Drosophila melanogaster: one gene and its partners. The protein of the gene in region 3 interacts with the protein of the main gene of each other region in a pairwise test. Each region holds a gene or a part of one and is shown on either strand. Other genes may lie near its edges.

Evidence for each region.
Region 1: the proteins of Sar1 (region 3) and CG6985 interact in a two-hybrid assay, tested with the Drosophila melanogaster proteins (one large-scale study listed by BioGRID).
Region 2: the proteins of Sar1 (region 3) and aru interact in a two-hybrid assay, tested with the Drosophila melanogaster proteins (one large-scale study listed by BioGRID).
Region 4: the proteins of Sar1 (region 3) and CG6770 interact in a two-hybrid assay, tested with the Drosophila melanogaster proteins (one large-scale study listed by BioGRID).

Annotation. Positions count from the first base shown.
Region 1 is NT_033777.3:22,739,214-22,744,233, forward strand, and holds CG6985 (uncharacterized protein), read left to right. Parts: upstream 1-1,936; 5' UTR 1,937-2,103; coding exon 2,104-2,883; intron 2,884-2,941; coding exon 2,942-3,541; intron 3,542-3,600; coding exon 3,601-3,654; intron 3,655-3,712; coding exon 3,713-3,784; 3' UTR 3,785-3,868; downstream 3,869-5,020. Other genes in the region: Dcr-1 (Dicer-1), read right to left, coding at 1-1,817; vret (vreteno), read right to left, coding at 3,936-4,093, 4,148-4,341, 4,398-4,582, 4,645-5,020.
Region 2 is NT_033779.5:860,917-868,162, forward strand, and holds aru (arouser), read right to left. Parts: upstream 4,946-7,246; 5' UTR 4,911-4,945; intron 4,145-4,910; 5' UTR 3,993-4,144; coding exon 3,961-3,992; intron 3,879-3,960; coding exon 3,482-3,878; intron 3,423-3,481; coding exon 3,279-3,422; intron 3,219-3,278; coding exon 1,647-3,218; intron 1,583-1,646; coding exon 1,403-1,582; intron 1,343-1,402; coding exon 1,250-1,342; 3' UTR 933-1,249; downstream 1-932. Other genes in the region: CG13950 (uncharacterized protein), read left to right, coding at 1-441, 513-780.
Region 3 is NT_033777.3:22,355,063-22,361,211, forward strand, and holds Sar1 (Secretion-associated Ras-related 1), read left to right. Parts: upstream 1-1,622; 5' UTR 1,623-1,736; exon of another isoform or gene 1,737-1,985; intron 1,986-2,454; exon of another isoform or gene 2,455-2,468; 5' UTR 2,469-2,566; coding exon 2,567-2,609; intron 2,610-3,309; coding exon 3,310-3,429; intron 3,430-3,500; coding exon 3,501-3,566; intron 3,567-4,462; coding exon 4,463-4,698; intron 4,699-4,774; coding exon 4,775-4,891; 3' UTR 4,892-5,649; downstream 5,650-6,149. Other genes in the region: rdhB (retinol dehydrogenase B), read left to right, coding at 630-765, 887-1,063; JMJD6 (jumonji domain containing 6), read right to left, coding at 6,007-6,149.
Region 4 is NT_033779.5:12,044,235-12,048,353, reverse strand, and holds CG6770 (uncharacterized protein), read left to right. Parts: upstream 1-2,235; 5' UTR 2,236-2,378; coding exon 2,379-2,588; 3' UTR 2,589-3,011; downstream 3,012-4,119. Other genes in the region: Plzf (promyelocytic leukemia zinc finger), read left to right, coding at 1-5, 62-958.

The DNA of each region.
Region 1 (5,020 bases), 380 kb from region 3:
GCAGCACGGGCTCGACCTTTGCACTGAACGTAACTGCGATATGTGGTTGGCGGATCCCAGCGCACAACCAAATTGCACTTGGGCACATCGATGCCCTCTTCCAGCACCGAAGTACCGATCAGGACATTGCAGTCATGCATGCGGAAGCGCTTTAGCACCTCTTCCTGCCGCCGGTGCTCCAACTCAGCCTCTTTGGGCTCCGTGGTGGGATCTGCCACCCGGTCCGTGGTGTACTGGCAGCGTAGGAACTTGAGATCGGGATCACGTCTGCTAATCTCCGCTAGAAGCTCAAAGAGCACGCGAGCCGTGTGGTTCTGGTTGCAGTAAATCAGTGCGCAGAGCGTGTCGCTGCCATCATTGTGATCCCGGTGGTGGCGCCTGGTGTACACACGTCTACGAGTTCGTGGTTGTGCAGTGTTGGCACCAGAGCTAGGTTTCGGCTTCGCATGAGCGGGAGTAGGAGTAGGAGTCACCCGAGCGGCGCTTCTGTTCGTCTGCCTGTCCTCTGTCGTGTGCAGAATCTGCTCAAGAGTGGCCACCAGGGCTCGTGTCTCCGTCGGCGGTTGGTCCATTTGATCCACCATTCGGCACTTGCTTTCCAGCGTATGAGATAACCGATTGAAGTCCGCCTGATCCACCTGATGCCGCATTCTGCGCAGTCCGTCCGCTTGGGTGTGCACCTCTTCCGGCTTGAAGCACCTCAGTGTCTGCAACAGACGTCGCACCTTGGGGCTGGAATAGCGTTCGATGGTCTGGCGTGAATCGCTGCCACTTCCTAAATGTCGATGGAATGCGTGTTCGCAGAGGGAGTACAGTTGGATAAGGGCCGTGCTCACTAGGCAGTACAGCAAGTAGTGACGTTCGTGCGGCGTCTTCACCTTTAACTTCTCATTGCATTGGTAAAAGTGATGTGCAGCCCGCTGCGTGCACCAAGGACCCATCTCGTGCAGCACGACCAGTAGTGAGTTGATGACGTTCAGGGGGTCCACCTTGGGATCGGGTATGTCTTTCAGTTCGTCCATAAACTGGTCTGTGCCGTAGATTTCGTAGGGATCGTAGCGGTGGTCCAATAAAAAGGACTTGTGTGTGTTGAGCACATCGGCAAGCACCAGGGACAGTTCGTCCATCTCGAAGGGGGCGCACTGTACGATGTATTCGTGCGGTCGGGAACAGTAACGCAACACGGTGACAATATCACTGGCCGTCTCGATCTGGCAAAGCACACTCTGCTCCAGGGTGGCCAGCATGGCGCTCAGTTGCTGCAGCTCACATCCGGCGCTGTGCAGCGGTCCAGCGAGTCCGAGAATCCGTGGCCTGTCCGCCGGTGGCGCTGGCATAATGTGATTCTCGAACAGAGGCCTTATCCTCTGATAAACGGCGCTGTCATGACAATCTTCCAGCACGATCAGTTCGACGCTGCTCAGCAGCAGCTCGCGAGTTTCGAGCAGATAAAGAAATCCCTCTGGCCGTAGGATGGAAACGTGATAGTCCGTCCAGCAATGATCAAAGGGAATTTGCATATCCGGCTGCTCCTGCCACACCCGCAGGTCAGTCAAGTGGGTGAGCATCGTGTAGATGGAGCATGGTTCCGTGCTGGTGCCAACCTCGCAACTGAGATAGACACTGACACGACCATGTCGGCGTGCTCGACGCGACAGCTCCTGGAGCAGCTTGAGGGCTATAAACTCCTTGGAACTTCGATGGCCCAGGCAAATAATCGTGTTCCGCTCGTAGGCGGTGGCCAGTAGCTCCACCTGAAAGTCGCGCGGCGTGAACACGGTGGTGTGCAGATTGTTGTCGCACCAGTGGAACGCCATCGTGGCTGAGGGGATTCACAAAAACACCACTGCCTCTGCGAGATTTCTATCAGAAAATCATCCAGAGCCGGCTACCAGCAGAATGCCAGTGTGACCAGGGTTCGGAATACCTTTCGAGGTTCACTTCATTGGCCACACTTACAAGTGGCTTGAAAATAGATTGCGCCTTGTATATTTATATTTTGTTGATAGCAAAAGTTTTTAAATTAACTTATGTATTTACGGTGAACTATACCCGGTAATCCTCTTCTTTAGCACCATAAAGCGGCGTTCCAAAGCTCCTTCCATGCGCCGCGCTGCAAAGCGAGAGAGCGAAGCGGCGCCTCCCAAAGAGGAACCACAGTCACCCTGCTCCTGGCCCAAAAACAATCTACCCAGCGAATGGGGCACCTCAGGGGGCACCCAAAGCCTGGGACCTCGAGAATTCAGGGCGGGCGAGAATCCCCTCAAAGATAGCCGCATCTTCCATGTGCTCTGGCGTAATCAGACCACCAAAAAGCACAAAACGTGGACTGGCAACGGAACGCTGGTGGTCACGGGATCCATAGTAACATTGAAGGATGACACCGGCAAGGTTGTGGACACCATGACATACTTTAAGCAGCGGCAACTTCAGGAGAACGATCAGCTGGAAGTAGGCAGCAAGGATGTCGAGATTCAGGAGGAGATTAAAACCGTCGAGGAGTGCCTTATTCAGCGCCAGTTGGAAATAGCCAACTGGTGCCAAAAAATAGATGCCCAGAATGGTTGTACAGACACATCGCCACCACCTGCTGACAGTGCACCCGTTAGGTCTCATCTGCTCAAGAAGATCAAGCGCGAGGCAGATGCCTTTGCTCCACCGCATTTGGAAATTAGCCAACATAGAGAAGATAAACATGTCTCCTATGCAGCCGCCGATTCCAGCACTTCGATGGGAAAGAAAATCTATGAACAAAACACTTTGAAGATAGAAAACCCTACCAAGGAGTTCACCCAATCGGAATATCTGTGTCTATTAACTCCAGCTGAACTGCAGAAAAAAATATTACTCTTTGTTTCTGAATATGCACAAACATCTAAAACAGTAAGATAGATTTAGACCAATTTACATGCATAAACAAATCAAAAAACTTGTATTTCAGGAATCGTCTACGTTGAAGGAAATCTTCCAAATTGTATGTGATCATCCTGTGCTCCTAAAAACTTTGGGTACGAATCCAGTGTTTAAGGAAATAATGGAGGTACTGGACGCCATACTGCCGCCTTGGCCAAGCATGGGACTTTACGACTCCGCCAAGTTCGAGTTTCTACACGTAATGCTGGATCACTTAGTGGCGGAGCGAGGCGAGAAGTGCTGCATCTTGGCAAACAGTGAGGATTGCCTCACCCTGGTCAGGGGATACTGTCAGAGTTATAGTTTGGACCATGCGCAGCTAGATGGTCCCCAAAAAGTGAACTTATTTAATTCTCTTGCCGATGGAGAACCAATGATTGGCTTGATTTTGACCAGTGACTTGTCGGCGCTTCGAGCTCTTCGCTGCAAACACCTAATTATTTATAATCACAATTCCAGGCAGCAAGCCAACCAACTGCTGGCCGTTGGAGCAATGGATACCAAAATATATACTCTCATCACAGCCGGAGGTTCTCCGGAGGAGTTGCAGTTCTATGGGCATATGGGTGATGATTCTATAGAAGATCTTCAGAATTGCCGCAGCCAGCTTATACCGACCGCATCTAATGTGAGTACTTCGAATTCTTATCATATTAATAAATCACCTATTGCATTGATAACCTATAGAATCTAGCGGACTGGACCAAAAGTGAGCCACCTTTTGACCGTGTTTTCTTTGAGGTGAGATTTGTATTACATTTTACTAACTTAAATTGCGTAAATCAATGTGACCTTACAGGAAACTGCTATATCGGATAGTCTGGATTGTATTCAACTGGTTTATTCAAGAAAAGTGAGAGTAAAAACTTAAACAAACAAAACGTTAACTTCAAGAATATAAATGTAAACAAAATTATTTTGTTGAACTAAATGCTTAGCAGTTGAGTTAACCTGGAAGATTTGTGCTTTTTTTTGGCCATAATTAGTTCTGAACTATTTCGCGGAATCAACCTTTTGAGAACTTAGTCCAAACTTAAGAACTCCTGCAGTTTTTCAATGCGAGTGGAGTAGCTATTTGTTTCCTCGTCGAAAGTGATTTCGCTGCAGGTGATAACGGACCCAATGGGATAATTTTTATCCAGCCATTTGATCTGCTCATCGGTGGGCTTCTCAGGCACTCCTACGAAAATCGAGTCATATAAATAATATAATTATCTTTGGAGAGCCTAATTACCAATTAAATCCAACTGTGTGGTCATTATAGGGAAGATAAACTGCGGCGGATAGGGACGTATGTCGGTGACATGTGTTGGCACTATGTTTCCGTAGTCAATGAACAAAATGCTGGGATAACCATCTCCTACTAACTCCACAGAGAGACCTCGACGCCATTTGCCTTCGTACTTAGCTATGCAAAGCTCATTTATCCTAAATGAAAGAGCGCTTTAGTTAAATGGACAAAAGAAAACGGCGAGTAACTTTACGGCGGTGCGTAGGTTGCGCACTTGGCAATCTTTTCACCATACTCCTGTATGTCTCGCTGCATTTTGGTGACTTCGTAAGCCAGATCTATGGAGGTGCAGTAGATAAAGCCGCACTGGATGAATGTGTTGTCCATTACCACTACATTTATGTTCTTTCCGCAGTGCAAGGGAATGTATGGAAGACACTGAAACCGAATAAATGCAAATGACAACTGTGTACTTGATGTTTTTTTAAGTTCTGGCTTACGTCCTCTTTGTATCCCAAGTCCGAGACAGACGGCTCAACAGGAGTTAGGATGGTCTTGAAAAGGCGGTTGAGGCTCCTATTAATATCGATCTCGGTCATCACCACGACCTGCATGCCCTTGCTGGTATCGTACTCACGTGACGAGTACTTGATATTAAAAACTAGGGACTGGTCGAGTTCGTACATGACTTCCCTTATGTTGGGACCCACAAAGCGCCTGGGAACTCCGCGTAATTTAACGGCTACGGGATAGCAGGTCAAACCAGCTAAATACGAACTGCATTCATACAGTCTTTCCAGCTGCGTGACTTCAACACTTCCGAAATCAATGAACACTACATAGATTTCCTTGATATTATCCACGTTTAGCACCATG
Region 2 (7,246 bases), on a different chromosome or scaffold from region 3:
GAAGTGCGACGGCCCAAAGAACCCGCTGCAGCCTGGCCAGAGCTTCACCTTCCGGGTGGCGGTGCTGCAGCGATGCTTCGAGATCTACGTGAACGACCAGCTGTACGGGTCCTTCGAGTTCGTCAAGTTCCCCAAGCAAATCAACTACGTGCGCACCTACGGCGACTTCGAGAAGATCACCCAGTTCCACCACCGCATGCTCTTTCCGCTCGTCTTCCCCAGAACGCTCATGTGTCCGGACAAGGTGGCCTTCCAGAGCGACGTGCCCAGGCGGTATGAAACCGGCACAGTGGTGGCCATGGAGTGCATCGCCAAGGGCCCGCCGACCACGGAGTTCTCCATCTGCTTCCAGTGCAACGACACCGGGCGTACGGTGCTCCGGTTCCACGTGAACTTCGATCGGACAACCGTGTCACGCAGCTACCAGCGTGAAGACAACAGGTATAAAGGAGTCCGAGACTCCAATATGCAAAGTTCCTCCAAGAGAATTCACCTTTACTCACTTATTCTAGTTTTGCCTTGAGCGACGAGGAGACCGAGGGCGAATTCCCATTTGTGCGCGGAAAGCTCTTCAAGATCGCTTTTGGGCTCGGGGATCGGGCTTTCCTGATCGCCGTCAACGGGCAGTACTTCACCTACTACAACTTTCCCGGACGCCCCTTCTCCATATCCACTCTGAAGTGCTTCACCAACGAAGTGGGCGACTTCGCCGTGCGGAGCCTGGAGTACCACTCCGATTCTCCGCTTCTGGCCCGCGTGGAGAAGTTGTCCATCATTTAATCGATTCGAGTTCTCGTAGTATGCTCTTTGTTCAATCGTTGGCTTTGATCACCGTACAGCACCAGTTAACTTCTTCTTGTGAGCATCCAAATAAAGCAAAGCAGCTCTCCAAACTACAATCTCCTCAATAATCATCAACCAATAGGCAGGTTCCTTTGGATATAATTTTATTAAAACAAATTATTGCCGTCGCCTCCCCTTTTCGCCTGGATGAGCATCAGCTTAAGCATCCGCCTCAGCAGGAGCCACGTGCTGCTCAACAGCTCCCGTCTGGAGCTCCACTTAGGTTAGTCTTAAGGTTAGTTCTGGTTTGCACACTCCTGCGAGCGAGTGCAAGGTATTGGAGCCAATCCGATCGCTAGTGACCAGGACTAGCATCCTAGACGGAACTGCTGATGTCTGTCTCTCTATAACGCTAGATCCTCACTACGGAATATGTGTATATGTATATGGTGATCGCATCTCGATCCTAGAAGTAGCGGAACTCGCCCTTCTTGCCCAGATGCTTGCTGCGCATCATGTCGGTGGGATCCGGCGATCGCTGTTCCATGCCGGGATTATCCTGGGTAATGTAGAGCGGTTAGCAAGTCCCATCATGAATTGAGTGACCAGCCTTACTCACCCCTGATCGCGATTTGTTGCCCGGACCTGTGGGACCCGTCGGTGGCTGCTGCTGTTGCCCGTAGAACTGGGCTCCATCTCCATCCCCGAAATTGAAGGGGGTTACAATCGTGTGCGGCACGTGGGCCACCTGACCCCGCATGTTGCGCGCCTTCCACCACTTTCGGGTATCATCAAGGATCTAAAGTTTCGAAGAGATGGTTATAGGACAGAACGAAGGATGGTAACGTGGGTGCTGGCCTTACCTCCAAGTATTCGCCTCGCATCACGCTAAGCTCCTTGTCGTTGTTGGCGGTTCGCGGATAGGTGACCAGCACAATCTTAGCGCCCGTCGCCTGCAGATCCTCCAGCCAGGACTCGAGCATCTGGTCGTCGCTGACATTCGGCAGGCCTCTGCCTCCACCGCCCAACTCCGACGAAGGCCCCGGACCAGCTCCTGCTCCGTACCCGTTTCCACTGCGAGATTCCCTCGTATGCAGATTCTGCAGACCAGCTGTGATGGCGCTAAGGGTTGGTCCAGCTCCTGGTCCGTGGCCATGACCATGGCCATGTCCCGCTGCTCCGCCGCCCCTGCCTTCGATCGAGTCGAACGACAGCTCGCTGCGGGCGTTAAAGTCAGACGCACTGATTGCGCCCGCCCGCTCTCTGTCGCGCTCCCTTTCCCGCTCCCTTAAACCGTCGTTGCCGTGGTGGATGGTGTACTTCTCGATACCCATGGCCATGTTCATCCCGTTCCCCGAGTCGTAGTCATCGTATCCGCCTCCCCCACGACCATTTAGTCCGGATCCAGCCTGGACCTCGAGTCTGCGCTTGCTCACATGAGCGGGCGGGGAATTTGGTGGTGGCTCCAGTTCATCGTTGATCAAATAGTCCGGTGACCAGCCATCGAGGAAGACCGGATGGTAGGATCCAACGTCATCCTTCCACTGATCTCGCGGGATCACCCAGGCATCGCCCAACGAGCGCCACAGCTCCGTTTCCTTGCTGGTTACACAGTTGATGAGCAGGTTGATGGCCTCTCTGGTCAGCAGGGGATTAACCACACGGGCCGGTAGCTGTGACTCGTAGTACGTGTCGCTGGAGGCCTCCACAATCAGAGCCAGCGGCGTGAAGAGGAAATGCACCAGTTCGGGAGCGTTGGGATCGTGGATGTGCGCCTTCAACTTTGCCAGCAGGTTAAATGACAGCTTAAACTTGGCAAAGATGTCCACGAACTCCTTCTCGTGGGGAGGCCGTGTCCTCAAAGTGAGCAATCCCTCCCCCGGATCCCTTTTCTTCGACTTCCGATTGCGACGACGGCGCTCGAGCTCCCGGGAAGCGGCGGCGGCGTGCTGAAGACGAGCTATGAACTTCTCGATGTCATCGAAACAGTGATTCAGCACAGCCACATCCCGCTCGTACTTCTCGCTGGACGTGGAGCTAGTCTCATCGCGCTCCGTTGCGCCACCGCCCCCAATCCCACCGTGTTCCGAATCCGTCTCGCCACTAATGTGGGCAACGTCATCGCCAGAAACTCCTACTCCGGCACGGATTCCATACTGTTCCATGCTGCTCCTTTGGTGCATGTGATGGTGGCTTTCGCGCTCACGGTCTCGATCACGCTCCCTCTCGCGCTCTGCCCGCTGCTCCCTGTGCTGGTGCAGCTCCACTCTACTATGCGACGAGGACGAGGAGGTTTTGCTCATCATCATGGCCATGCTGGAGGCTCCTCCGCCTCCTGATTGAGTGGGTGTGGCACCGCGCTGCTGCGTTATCATCTTGCCGCTTCTCAGCTGCTTCAGATCCTCAACCAGGTGAACGGCGGACACACTTTGTGACTGCAGGGATAAATCATTTGAATGAAACTGTCATGAGACAGAAGCCTCACTAATTCTCACCTGGAATATGTGCATCTCGGAGCGAGAACCACCGCCTCCGGATACGATAAAGACCAGAATGTTGTTGTATAGCTCCATGGCGTCATTCGAGGTGAATGCGGTGGGCTCCTGAACCAAGGAGGCGGGGAATCTTTCGATTATGTTCTGTAAGGCAAGGATGAAGATGAGTTCCATAAGGATCTTTCCCAGTTTGTGAAACGTACCCCTGTTTCATAGTCCATAATTAGCACCCACTGATAGTCCAGGCAGAGCTGCATCTTCTGCGACCAAATACCCGTGGTCTTCTCCAGCTGAAGGAGGCGACGCATTCCGTCCGCCGGATACACAATGCCGGACTCCTTGTTGACCGTGAAGGTGGCCAGGTGTTCCAGCAGGTAGGTGGGCTTGTCGTGCAAGTCACTCTCCAGACGCTCCCGCTCCTCGCCGCCTCCGCTGCGATCGTCTCCGGAATAGTCTCCTCCTCCGCCGCCGCCTCCATGGGCACCGCCTCCTCTTAGGCTTCCGCTACTGTTTCCAGCACTGCCGCCTCCGTTCGAGTGGTGGTTCACCATGGTGTCTCCCAATCCCGGTACAGGCTTCGATCGACGTCTGAAGCTCCGTCTAAAAATAAAATTTTTTCACATCATCATCATCGTCAACAATTTTGTATATCGGTCTTTGATTCGTTTAAAATATAAGTTACCGTTTAAATGATGAACTTAGTAGCTTAAACATTGATTAAAAGTTTTGATCGTTACCAACTTATACTTTTGCTTCTTAGGTCGAGTTGAACTATCGTCATTTGAAAATAATATTTAGAATTATGTGTATGCTTTTAATAATCCCATTTAATCGCTTATTCCAATGACTAAAACATTATATCGTGACTGCTGTCGAAAAACATGTTTAACTTGATTAGAATAGTATTCCCAAAACTAAATTTCCTATTGGCAGGGGTGTGGTTAAGCCCCTTGGAAGTCTGGTTCCCAATTTGGTCTCTCAAGACCTTAAAGCCTCCGCTGACCGAGTCTTCGAGCTGAAATCTTATGAGTGTCGAATACGAAAATTGGTCCTAAAGTATGTGTTAGATCATTATGCTGTGTTTATTTTGTGCAGCTGAGACTAAGTCCCTCTGCATCCGAAGGCCCCTAATCCCGCCAAGCCACTTGGATATTGCGCAGCCAATCGTCTCTGACTCAGACCGCATTCCGATTCCAAGCCTCCACTAGCGTTGGCATACACACTCCAAGCGATCCGCACATGGCCGCAATTATTCTCAAACTTTAACATTTCGTTGTTGGCTTGGATCAGCATTGGAATTCAAAAATCGCGCTACTTCCACTTCCCCAGGTTCTCCTCTAAGCTCGGTGTCTCCACTTTGACTACACAGAGAATATCTTTGGATAGTTTACTTCCGATTATATTCATCTTATTTGTATTAACAGCAGCAAATTGTATTGCATTGTAGATGTAATAGAGAGTAATTGTAGAGTAATAGCTCTTATCTTCAAAAATTAGGCCAACTATGGTTCTATGTCACAGTAACATTCTTTTCAACACTCGGATAAATCTCTCTTATTTTTTCTGTGTAGCCAGTGAACACACCTGCAAAAGACACACACACACACGTAAAACTGAGATTTGCAAACACACTTTCTCGCTCCCTCTCGCTCTAACCCTCGCAGACTCTATCCAAACCGCTCCCTCGACTCAAGTGACAGCAACAACTTTTCCGCTGTTTTAGGCTGGGCTCAGACGCCGACTGCGACGCGGGCAGCGGTGTCGCATACCTATCTACACTAAGCAAAAATCGCTACTGTTTTTATAAAGATATTGAAAATCATTATAATAATCCTATGGCGAGAAAGTCTCTAGAATGTAGTTCTAACCATTTTTAAATGTTAACAACATTTTCCATGATAGAAACACCCCCAAGTTTGTCGATTGTTTTCAGTGTATCAATCCAGCAGTGTCGCAGGGTCAATGGACAGGGGAAAGGGGGTGTTGGGTGCTTGTGTACTTGCAAACAGGTGAAAGAGAAACTGCAGAGGGGGTCAGCTGGAGGCACTATCTGCTTACGATCTTGTACAAGCCAAAATCGCAGTAAACAAACAAGCGAAGTGCACGTAAAAAAGAAAACACTGACCCACTACACCCCTGGAAATGTTTTGTTTTCGTTAAGTTGCGCCGCTGTGTTATATTTCAGCGTTTTACTGTTCGTACAAGCCCCAAATTGCATCACACTTGTGGAATTTGACAGATTTGTGTTTTCGCTCCTAACTCTACAGCAGCTTAGAGGCCAATGACGAAACGCGATAAACATTATCGCACTTGGGTAACATGGAAATAGTTGGGCTTGCATAAATCATGCTTTAGAGAAAGTACTAAAGCTGCTGGGTGATTTGAAGTTAAGTTAAGTCATCATAAACATCTACAAAAACATTATGCTAAATGAAATACATATATGTTTATAATATAAGTATTACTACTTTTGTACTTCTATAATCTTGAAATATTTGCAATCCACACATATGTATCTATGCATCTGTAAATAGGGGAAAATTATAAGCCTCGGTAAGGCAATCTAAGATACATAACTGCACTGGTATCTAAGAACTCCCCGACAAGAACCATAAACCTGGAGACATGCCCCAAGCATAGCTTCCATTCAGGTGAAGATAATTAATTGGGTCCTGATAAGCGTGAGATGGGGTGTTAGAGCCTCAAATAATTCAGACAGCTGGGATTTAGATAAAACGGCGGCGTGCGGTACACTTGCTTTTTTATTTTATCTCGCATACTTTTTGGTTTACGAAGCAAATGGCAAAACAACAAATGACAATAGTTGTTTTTGCTGTTCTTTGGGTGGAAACCCGCTCGTTAGATGGTGGTGGGCTGGAGGGGGGTGGAGAGACATCGACACCCCGATCCACACTATTGTCGTCCCCCTCGCGCGCATGCGTGGCAGATAAGCTGACGTCTTTGCTTGCGCTGGTGTGTGCGGCTTGAAAAGGTATTTGTCTCCGTGTCTCGAGCCCCCCGGCACCCGCCACCCCCTCGCCTGTTGCTGCAACTTTAGTTTTTGACCGACCGCATTTTTTAAGCTTTCTTTTCCACCTGTTTTCCGTTTTCCTCTCTCACTGTGCGCTGTTTATATTCCACGAGCCTCTCTCAGACACACACACACACGTCGCCTATAAGCCGCACTCACACAGGTGAGGCTTCACAGTAATGTGCGAGCGCGGATATACAGTGGACCCTCAAATAAGTAATCTAATTGAAAATAACATCCTTGAAGCTCTTTAGGCAATTATTTAAATTAATAATCTAACCAATTTCAAATGATTGAACTTAGTATATGTTCCAGATTTCCCGCAATCGAGTATTACTTCACCGACGCATTACTGTATGTACAAAAGTGGGAGCGGCGGCAGGTTTCGTATTGATTTTCAATGCTTTGTTCAATTCATTCACTAATTCACAGACACAGGCTCAATTCGCTGTATGTATTATTCTAATTGACCGCATTTTCCGGTGAAATGTGTGATATTCATATGTATGTGTATACACTCCCTTCGCACACACACGCACAACACACAGGTATCGATATCACGTTAGCATTTCGATATCATCCTCTCACCTAGCAGCACATTCTTTTTCTAATTAGCACGAATAATCCAAGTCTCTGTCACGTTTGCTTGGCATTTCAACTGGCTTTCGGGCTTATTTTCGGGTTTAGCTTCGGTTTTAGGCGTTACAACTGCGATCACTCGAGCATTGTTTCAATTTTAATTCAAACATTAAAAGTAACTGTAGTCCAGCACTTAATCCTCTCTTCTTCTTCCACCTCCTTATTACCTGTCTTCGCCGTTCTCTCCGTCCTTTTCTGGCAGCCGCCGCCTTTGGTCTAGTGCTTTCTCGCTCCTCTTTGATTTTTATTTTTAAGACGGCTTTCTTTCGCTCCGTTCTTTTTGATTCTCACAGACCGT
Region 3 (6,149 bases):
ATTAAGACTTAATTAATTAAAAACTGCAAGGGTATGCCGGCCGCCCAGCATCTGCAGCAACGTTGGCAATTGTTTGCATTTAATGCCCCCGGCTCAGAGCCGTAAGTACCACCCCGTGCTCTTCCAAATGCACTCGAAAAAAAGGATACTCGAATGAATGCCTTCATAAAAATATCAGTTTAATTAAATTAAATATCTTGTAGCAAATATAAAAACTAGTTGTAACTTATAATTCCCTTATTTTTCCAAAAATTTCGCATTCAATCAAAATATTATAGCACAAGTTTTTAAGTCTTTTCTTGCTTTTTCGTCAGGTGTGGGGGTAAAATTAAAAGAAGTTTACGCAATGTTTGCATAAAATGCACGCAAAAATGTCCCGTCAGCTGCTGACCATCATTTTCCGTAGGTGTTCGACGGCGACTTGTTTTTTGTTGCCGTTTTAAGTGCTTGAAATCCGTTGTGTTGACTTTATTTACCCACGCACACCCGCCGTTTGTGACCCCGCTTTGTCTTTATTTTCCATCCCCGACGCACCGCCATACCTTGGCATGTGGACGATGCTCATGCTACTCCTCCGCCTCCTCCTTCGCTCTGCTCTGGACATGTGTATGGACAACATTTGACAACAGCGTGCTTGGCCATCGGATTCCGGAAGTGCCGGTGCCCTTATTCAGCGTTTATCCGGCCACGAAGCATGCAATTACGGCCCTCTGCCAAACGGTGCGCCAGGAAATACATTTTCTCAAATTAAATATTAAATTAACGGTAAGTTAAATGCAGTGCATACATGGCGCGCCTCATCCTCCATCTTAATCCTCGGGAAATGCGGCAAACATGACGCGTCTGCTCATTGGTTACCCTCTCCATTTTTATCCCTCCATTGCAGAGCATTTGCCCGGGCATGGTAGACACGGATTTCCTTAGTGTTTACTCGCAGGCGGTAGCCGAGCTGCCCAAACTGCAGGCAAGGGATGTGGCCAAGGCCGTGTTGTATGCGCTGAACACTCCCGATGGCGTCCAGGTGGAGGACATCATCCTGCAGCAGATGCGGAAGGTCGATTGAATTTTAGTTTGAATTTCAAGAGAATTACATTTTACCCAAAACGATATTATTTGTACATTTTGTATATGTTCTTCTATGTAATAAGAGAACAAATGTACATATTTTTAAATATAAAAAATTACATTATTGCATTTCAAGCAACTGTTTCGACACTTTATATTCTTTAAGATGTTATCTGTAGATAACATCTGTATTAACATCTTATTACAAATAACATAAAAATGCAATAAAACGATAATTAAACATTTATAATATTTTGCATATTCTCTAATCGATATAACATTAAATGCGTGTAAATAGTTTGGCAACATTATGAATGCATTTATACATTCATTCATTTGAATTGGAATTGCCCGCGCATGTAGTGGAGTTGCCACCTTGCGGTAGGGCTGCCAGATTGAGTCAAAAGACCAGGGCTGTACAGCTATCGCTAGCGAGTACAACAACCACTCTTGATTTGGCTCGCTTCGCTCTAGCAGAGTTATCCACCAAAACATCGATTACTCGTGCTACCCCCAAAATCGATGGTACGAAACAAACATCGATATTTCACAGCTTTCGCTTATTGGTCACACTGGGGCTTATGATTAAAAAAAACTGAACTGACTCCAATAAAAACGTGAGGTAGAAAAAGCGAATTAGGTTGACAATTAATACACACAGCAGACGCACGGTAACCAGCCGCCAATACCGATACGAACGCGCGGCGGCAACAGCAAGTGCGCAAGTAAAAGTCCATATCAAACGCAAGCTACCCGCAGCCGCGGGCAGTTAAATTCCGAAATGCGTCCACGTAGTGCAAAATCCGAATCTCAATTCGAATTCGAATCGGAAGTCCGGATGTCTGCGCCCTTTTTATGCTTTTTTCGAGGGTGCGGCTTAGATCGGCGTGCACCTGCCGTCCAAAGTGTGATTACGAAATGTGCTCCAACGTGAAATGATATTATAAAGTATAATATAATGCATGTTACCACGTAGTTGCACACAGACAGGCAGCACACGCACACACACGCGCACACCCAGTGCCACTCACACACACACACAGACAGTGAGCGAGCGAGAGGGCAGGAGGCAGAGAAAGAATGAAATAAAGAAAGTGCTGCCCAGTTGACAAAGAACAGGTTTTAACCTAATTAACTAAATAATGGGCCCAAGTGAATGTTTCGCCGCCAGGAGGAATTTGCTTCCTTATATCCGCAAGGTCCCCGCCGCTCGAGTGTGCGTGTTGTTGTATGTGTGTCAAGGTTCCGGAAGTTGAGCCGCCGTAAAATTGATTTCCTATACACCAAGCCGCTGTTGCTGCCGCTGCTGTTGTTCTTATTGTGTTTCTGTGGCTGGACATTGAACTTGAGTCGAAATGCGCACTAACCCATTATCCATGCCATATCTCTTTTCGATCCGGCAGCCGTCTAGCCCAGCAGCTCTCTTCCCCCCACAATAAACACACACAAGCTGCTCTTGGAGCCAATCACCCGCAACCGATAGCCACACGAAACCATCAGGATGTTCATCTGGGACTGGTTCACCGGAGTGCTGGGATACCTGGGTAAGCAACGTCGCCATTGCCGACCTTGTGCCTTGGGGCGGCGTTTCTTGAACGAGTGCCAACAAGGCAGCCGCACAAAAGAAACCCAAATTCGACGGCTGTACAGCGGAGGTCGTGGTGATAGCTCTAAACGTGCGATTATCTCGAAATCTAGAGGTTAAACTGTGTCTATAAGGTGTCGAAAGCTTATAACTTTCCATTAGGTCTCTCTATCACAACAAATGCGCGTTGAATATGCATTACTCTAGGGTGCATATACAATATACACTTCTGTAAAAGGTATTTTGATTGCATAGCCATGTACTCTTCAGCCACAATTATTTAAGCAGACATTTTTGATAGGGTTTTCCTCGCTTCCAGATGGCTGCTACACTTTTATTTGCTTTGTAATGCTAAAAGTTAAAATTATTCCATACGAAAAGTACTGTTCTACAGTGCAGGCCAAACTGATAGCAGTTGTTATAAGCGCATTTTTGTTATAGCTTGATCTTTAATCAGGTTAATGATAGCCGAACATTTTGGGTAGCAAAGGTAATAATTAGCCCGAAGTCCAAGAGCTATTGTCTCGACCTCAAATGTATATTCGGCTGTCTGTGGCTGGGCAAACACAAGTGAGCCGCCACTAGTGTTAGTTTAGCTGCGTATATTAATTGATGACGCGTAAGTCAAAAGGCTATTCAACACACTTTCTCGTTTTCAGGTCTGTGGAAAAAGTCTGGCAAATTATTGTTCCTGGGCCTGGATAATGCTGGCAAAACCACACTCTTGCATATGCTCAAAGATGATAAGCTGGCGCAGCATGTGCCCACACTGCATCCAAGTGAGTTTCCTTCATGGACTAAATAGTGGTTATGTGTGTGACTTTAATTAACTAATATGATTGACTTGCAGCATCCGAGGAGCTGTCCATCGGCAACATGCGCTTCACTACATTCGACTTGGGTGGCCACACTCAGGGTAAGTGCCTAATCTTGACCAGAGCTCAGGGGAATGTGAATGTGCATCCAAATCGTTGCTATTTTCCGTACGTGCCCACGACTAAATATAGACCAGTATGCAAATATCGCAGGGCTAAGCAAGCGCAGCCGCCAGATCCACGACAATCAGCATGAAATATAGCGCATCAGGTCACCCATACAGCCAGTGCGTCTTACACTCGTAGCATTTGTTGCGATCAATCAGCGCCACACACTCGAAGCAATGCCACCACAGTGGTCACAAGCAGCTCATCCAGAGATCTCAATTATCATCTTATCTCAACTGTGATTATGAAGACCTCAGAATACTAGAATATTTAACCCATTGCATACAATCAATATGTTCATTTATGTTTAGAAAGCAATTAGTGTCTTGTTGATTTTCGCAAATACTATCTTCCTTACCACTGTGCACATATAGGCGACGTATTTATTATTAATATTATGAAGGCAAACATTCTCTATGTAGATAACAAACAGAAACGAAAAACTCGCATACATGCAGTTGATATATGTATATAAATATGAACATTATGAAAAGTGATCAAACATCGTGAAATCCAGTTGTTTTGATAACGAAGCTCTAGCACTCATTTTAAGGCAGCTCGTCATCGTGACGATCGTTTTCGCTTCGGAACTACTAGGTACACTAAAGTAGAAAGGTTCTTAGCGGCGGAAAGATATCAGATTTGTGCCTGATATCAGTGACTTGCGCTTTGTTATTCTAGCGATGTTATATAAATTACAGATTGTTGGTCAACAGCAGCGACTACTAAGGTGCCCTTGCAAATCTTGATTCAAAAATCGGAAGACTAACCCATCTAAAGACTAACTGCTGCTTTTGTATTTATGAGACATATCTACTTATTTCTGCAGCACGACGCGTCTGGAAGGACTACTTCCCTGCTGTGGACGCCATCGTTTTCTTAATAGACGCCTGGGACCGTGGCCGCTTCCAGGAGAGCAAAAACGAGCTGGATTCGCTGCTCACGGATGAGGCGCTGTCCAACTGCCCCGTGCTCATATTGGGCAACAAAATCGATAAGCCCGGCGCGGCTAGCGAGGATGAGCTGAGAAACGTGTTCGGACTGTATCAGCTAACAACCGGCAAGGTGAGCACCAAAACCACCTCCCTCCCTCCCTCCCTCCTTACTCCTGCTACATAATTGATATCCATTTGACTTGCAGGGCAAAGTTGCACGCGCCGATTTGCCCGGCCGTCCTCTGGAATTGTTCATGTGCTCCGTGCTGAAGCGACAGGGCTACGGCGAGGGTTTCCGTTGGCTGGCGCAGTATATCGATTAAGTCAGCATTAGCAACCACCACCAGCACCATATTTTCAAGAACACCACTCAACACTCAAAACCGAAAACTTGGCTACAAAATTTCCAAAAATGATTAGAGACCGCAGAAAGAACAGAACCCAAGGGATGTGAACCCAGCCCAATTCAAACCGTCAGACCTTAAGCAAAACGAAGCTGCGTGCGCAATTTCTAATTTATACAAAACAATTACAAATATTTCATAATAATAAAAAAAAAAAAACAGAAAACCATACAATGTACATCTGTAACACACAAGAAATCGCGGGAAAAACAGAACACAACATCAAAGTGAAGACAACTTTTCTATCTGGAACATCGGGATACATTGTAAGGAGCTGAAGGATGCGCGGAGTGCGCAAGGGAAACTTTTAATAATAATTATGAGTAACAAATTATAGCAAATTAAAGGTGATTTATTTAAGAGCATGTGCTTTCAACGAACGCTGTTTCGCCAATAAAATGTAGCCACCTACCTTTATTTCAAGTTTATGAATTGTAAATGTCGCTATTGATTTCCTAAATAGTTTACTTTGGCCGCAAAACATTATGTACATCCCTATAAGGATTCGACCTCCGATAAATGGTACACCTTAGTTTAGCTAAAAATTTTAAGTTGCATGTCATCGATGTACTTTGTTTCTTTTATACAATACGAAAGGGAAAGCAATTTATATAAAAAAGCATTTTTGTTTGCAGACAGAATTCTAAATAAAACGGAGAAAAGTAATTTTGTAAAATACATAAATTGGTGACTATTGTTGTTTTGCATTGGATTTATGTGCCGAGCTTGAATGAAACCCAGCGATGTACAAACATATTGGATTCATTTATTTATTTGCATTTAGGGTTTACGCTAATGAGTCACGTCCGGAGCATCTATTGAAATCAGGGAGCAGGCATTCGATGAGGGCGAGCACGGGATCCAGGAGCTGCAAACATGCTGGTCCAAGTAGAAAAATACACAAAACTCTGCAGAGTATGATCGCGACCTCAGTGCTAACTGAGCCGGCAGCGGCGGGGCAGTCCTCTCAGCAGCATCAGTTGGCGTTGAAAGAGGCGCATGAGCAAGCCCTTGCGCTTGGCCCGCTCCCTGGATCAGGAACGCGATGATCCGCCCATGGAGCCGGACCCGGAGCCGCCGCCAGCCATGCGCCGCTTCTTTTTCTTCTTGGCCGTCAGACTCTCCTGGCCGCTGTCCGTGTTGGAATCGCCGCCATCGTCGCTCTCCTCCTCCTCCG
Region 4 (4,119 bases), on a different chromosome or scaffold from region 3:
TCAAGGTGGATAATATGTCATTGAGCCACTGCCGTAACTTATATTCGCCTTTTCCTTAAAGCTTAAGAACCCGCGAGCTGTAAAGTCCAGCAGCAAAGTGAACTACTGCATTGGCTGCGACTTCAAGTGCTATCAGGTACAGAAAATGATCGAGCACATGGGCAGCTGTGAGCCCTCCCATTTGATTTGCTCGCTGTGCGAAGTCGGCTTTCTGGACTGGCGGGAATACGACACTCACCTACGACGGCACTCTGGTGATCTGCGTAAGCCCTTCTTTTGCTTACAGTGCGGCATCCGCTTCAACACACGAGCTGCCCTGCTCGTCCATCAGCCTAAGCATTCCACGGAAACGCCGCACATATGTCCACATTGCGGCAAGGGCTTCAAGTGGAAGCAGGGCCTGAGCAATCACATCCTGGTCCACAATCCCGAGAAGCAAATGCTCTGCGACGTCTGCGGCTATAGCACCACGCACATGAAGGCCCTCAAGTCGCACAAACTGCTTCACACCGGAGAATTCTTTGCGTGCACAGTTTCAGGCTGCAAGCATCGAGCCAATCGCAAGGAGAACCTCAAATTGCACATTGAAACTCACAAACAGGGTCGCGATTTTATCTGCGAGGTCTGTGGCTGCAAGTTCAGCCAGAGCAAAAACCTCAAGCGTCACGCCCTCAAGCACACGGAGAATGGTCCGAACCGCTACAAGTGCCAGCTGTGTGGATTCAGCAGTCATCGCTCCGACAAAATGAAGGAGCACGTGCAGCGGGTTCACACAGAGAAACCGGTGCAGTTGGAGCTCTCGGAAACGGTGGACAGTAGCTTTCCCGATGACTTTGAGCTTCCCGTGATCGAAACGTCACCCAAGAAGAAGCCAAAGAGTGTTAAGAGCAAGACTATAAGGAATGTTAATCCTGACAAGCGACTGAAAACACTACTGCCCAAGGAGACTGTAGAATAGGAATAAAACGGAAGGTTACCCCATTCATAACTTCTCAGAGAAAGAGATTTGTGAGGCAAAGGTCAATAGTAAATATTTAGAATAACTATGTTGAAAAGAGACTGTATCAGCAAGTTTAGAACATTTGCTATATTTACAAAATGAGACGTGGGATCTCTCGTTCTGAGTTCTAGTACAACAAAATTGTATCTAGAATATTCACGGAAACCCAGTTTCTTTTTAAAGCCATTAAAAAAGAACCATCGAGAAATCTAAAGATTGATTTGCTACCAACGAATTGTAAATAAAGTGGTATATTGTGGCAGGTTCTTGAAACAACATTGTTGAGGCCGTTCTATCTTATCTAAGATGGTGACTACGATCTATTGCGTCGTTTGAAGACGAACTTTCAGAACGAATACCTGCCAAATGACTAACTAGAGCGATAGTTAGCACCTTATCAACGCCAGAAGGCTATGTATATATGTATGTACGTAACATTTGTTTATATAAAATCCATTAAACCAAAACAAACTGAAAGCTTTTCGCTATTCAGAAATAAACAAATGCGTTGCCTGGTGGGAGGGAAGTGGGTCAACCGATCAGGTTCTAATGCACCAAAATAAATATCCATTATGAGTATATCTTTTGTAAATCAAAAATGTTATTCGAATTATAATTATTGCTAAATTGTTTCTTGTGCCCTAACATTCAAATATTGTTGAGTGTAAAAAAATAAACAAATTTTGAGCAGTGTATCCAGAACATATGATGCATTTAATTCTATATTTATTGGGTGGAGAAACAAATGCAGGGTAAATGCACTTTGATGGTCGTTTGCGGAGGGCCAAGGTGGGTGTGTGTTATGTAACCACTCAGGAACGTGTGTATGCTTAAAAGTTCTTAAATTATTAAAATAAATGAACAAGGCGAAATAATATGTTTGGCGATTTCAGTTTTTTTGTTTACCGCGCACTTTGTAAACAGCAAAAAATTAAATTGCGCAGCAAAAATTGTCAAGGAGGCACTCTCTTGAGCGCAAAAGGGTTGTCAGGCCCAATAACTATGAATTTTAATAACTAAAAATTCTTTTACATAAAAAAGAGCAAATATATTTTGTAAAAGTTCAGTAGAAAGTTATAGAAAAATTAAATATTTTTAGTAACTACACGTAAGCAACAATTAAATGCCCTTCTAGTAGTTTCTTTAGCTAAATCCGGCAACTCTGACGGAGAGAGAGCTTTGGTTACGGAACAGAAAGCTTGCGCGCCTATAAAAGCCGCTGCTCGACCGAAAAAATTCAATTCCGTTCGCAGCTCAGCGAAAAGTGAACAAAAAAAAGCAGAAGAGAAATTTGGAAAGCAGCCTGCAAGTTTGCAGAGAAACAAAAAGCAGACACCAACCAAGAACGCAGTTAGTTTTGCAACCTTAAATCGCCATTATGTCCGAGGCCCACTTCGATGAGTACGAGCACTACAACTTCGACCATGACAAGCACATCTTCTCTGGACACAGCGGCAAGCAGCGCAACAAGAGGGAGGCCAATGAGCACACCAACCACTTCGATCCCTCCGGTCATTCCCGCAAGATTCTGACCAAGCTGATGAACACCAACAACAACAACAAGAAAGCCGCCGCCTGCAAGAACTGATGCAGGGCATCGACGGAGGCGGTGGAACAGGAGAGAAAGAAGTAACGGGGCCGCGCTGAAAGGAGAAAAGAAATCTTCGAATTTAAAAGGAAAGCAAAAGCAAAGGAGAGAAGAAAAAGAAGAACAAGCAGCAGTTTTGCTGGAAGGAAAGAAAGAAAAACAAAAGCCAGCTGGAAATACACATTGCATTTGTATTGTGCATTGGCTTTTCATGCGGCGCTAAACTTTGTGAACATTATAATAATTTTATTTCGCTTATAATTTCACAAACACAAAAAAAGAAAGGCACATACTACTCTTAGCTTCTAATATATTCCTAAACTAATTCAGACTTGCAAGTTTTAGTTGCTAAGCCTTAGAGCGTTTCAAATAATGAAGTTTGACTTAGGTAATACATATAAAATAAAGAGAAAACCAAAACTGAATAGCCTGGTCGTCTTATTTTCATTTGCATTTGCAGCGCACCTTTCCAAGCGAGAGAGCTTTTTGAATGCCGTTGGTGTGCTGTTGTGCATATTTATAGCCTTTTAGTTGAACTCATTTGCACTCAGCTCCTCGATTATCGCAAAAGCAGTTGCAGTCGACTTTTTTCTTTGTTTACAGCGATCGACCAAAAAGAGAACATGTATGAACATATTTATTTGTGTATGTAATGTATGTATGTTAGTTTGCAAACGGAAATATTCCCGAGACCTTCCATTGAAAGTTCACCAGTTACACAGGTAATTAAACTTGCACACACATATTCCTGCATCATTTCTTCCGGTTTAAATTTGCGTGTAAGGTTGCATTTATGAATATTGCGCCGCTTTTATTGACTTTCAATACTAAACGATATTTTTACATTAGGTGTCCAAAATTACAAAAGCTATGTTATTTTCCACTCACAAACAAACAAGCACACGTACAAAAATAAACCGAACAAACTTTTCCAGAAAGGTCCACTCTAATGGAATTCTCTCCTCTCTCTCGCTCTCTCTCTCTCTATAAACGCCATTTGCCGGCTTTTTGAATTGCGTTGTTGATATTTGGTAAACAATAAAACAGACTCTCGATCAGGTGGTTTTGCTATAATGCATATTAATGAAATTGTTCGAACATATTGACAATTAAAATTCCAAGACTCTTATGTATGTTTAAATTCGCATTTTGGTTAGTCATAAATATTCCTTATCTTCATTAAATAGCATTTCGTCTGAATCATTGATCTATCTAAAAATGTGGTGTTCCAAACTTCAAACAAATAGAAGGTGATGAAAAACCTGTTTTTTTATAAAATTAAACATTGCAATATATTGCGTGTTAAAAGTGCCTTAGAATCGGTTTTTTATTTTTATTAAATGTATTTCTAAATTAAAGATTCGTTAAACTCGCATTACAAAAGTAAAACAAAATCGATAGATAAACATTATCGCCGCGGTTTCAAACAAAGCAATATCAACAAATAAAATTTACAATCGAGCTTTTTAGAGGAAAACAAGCAAGAGGTCTAAAAAACGAGTAAACAATTTTGGGGGTAACGAAACTAGTT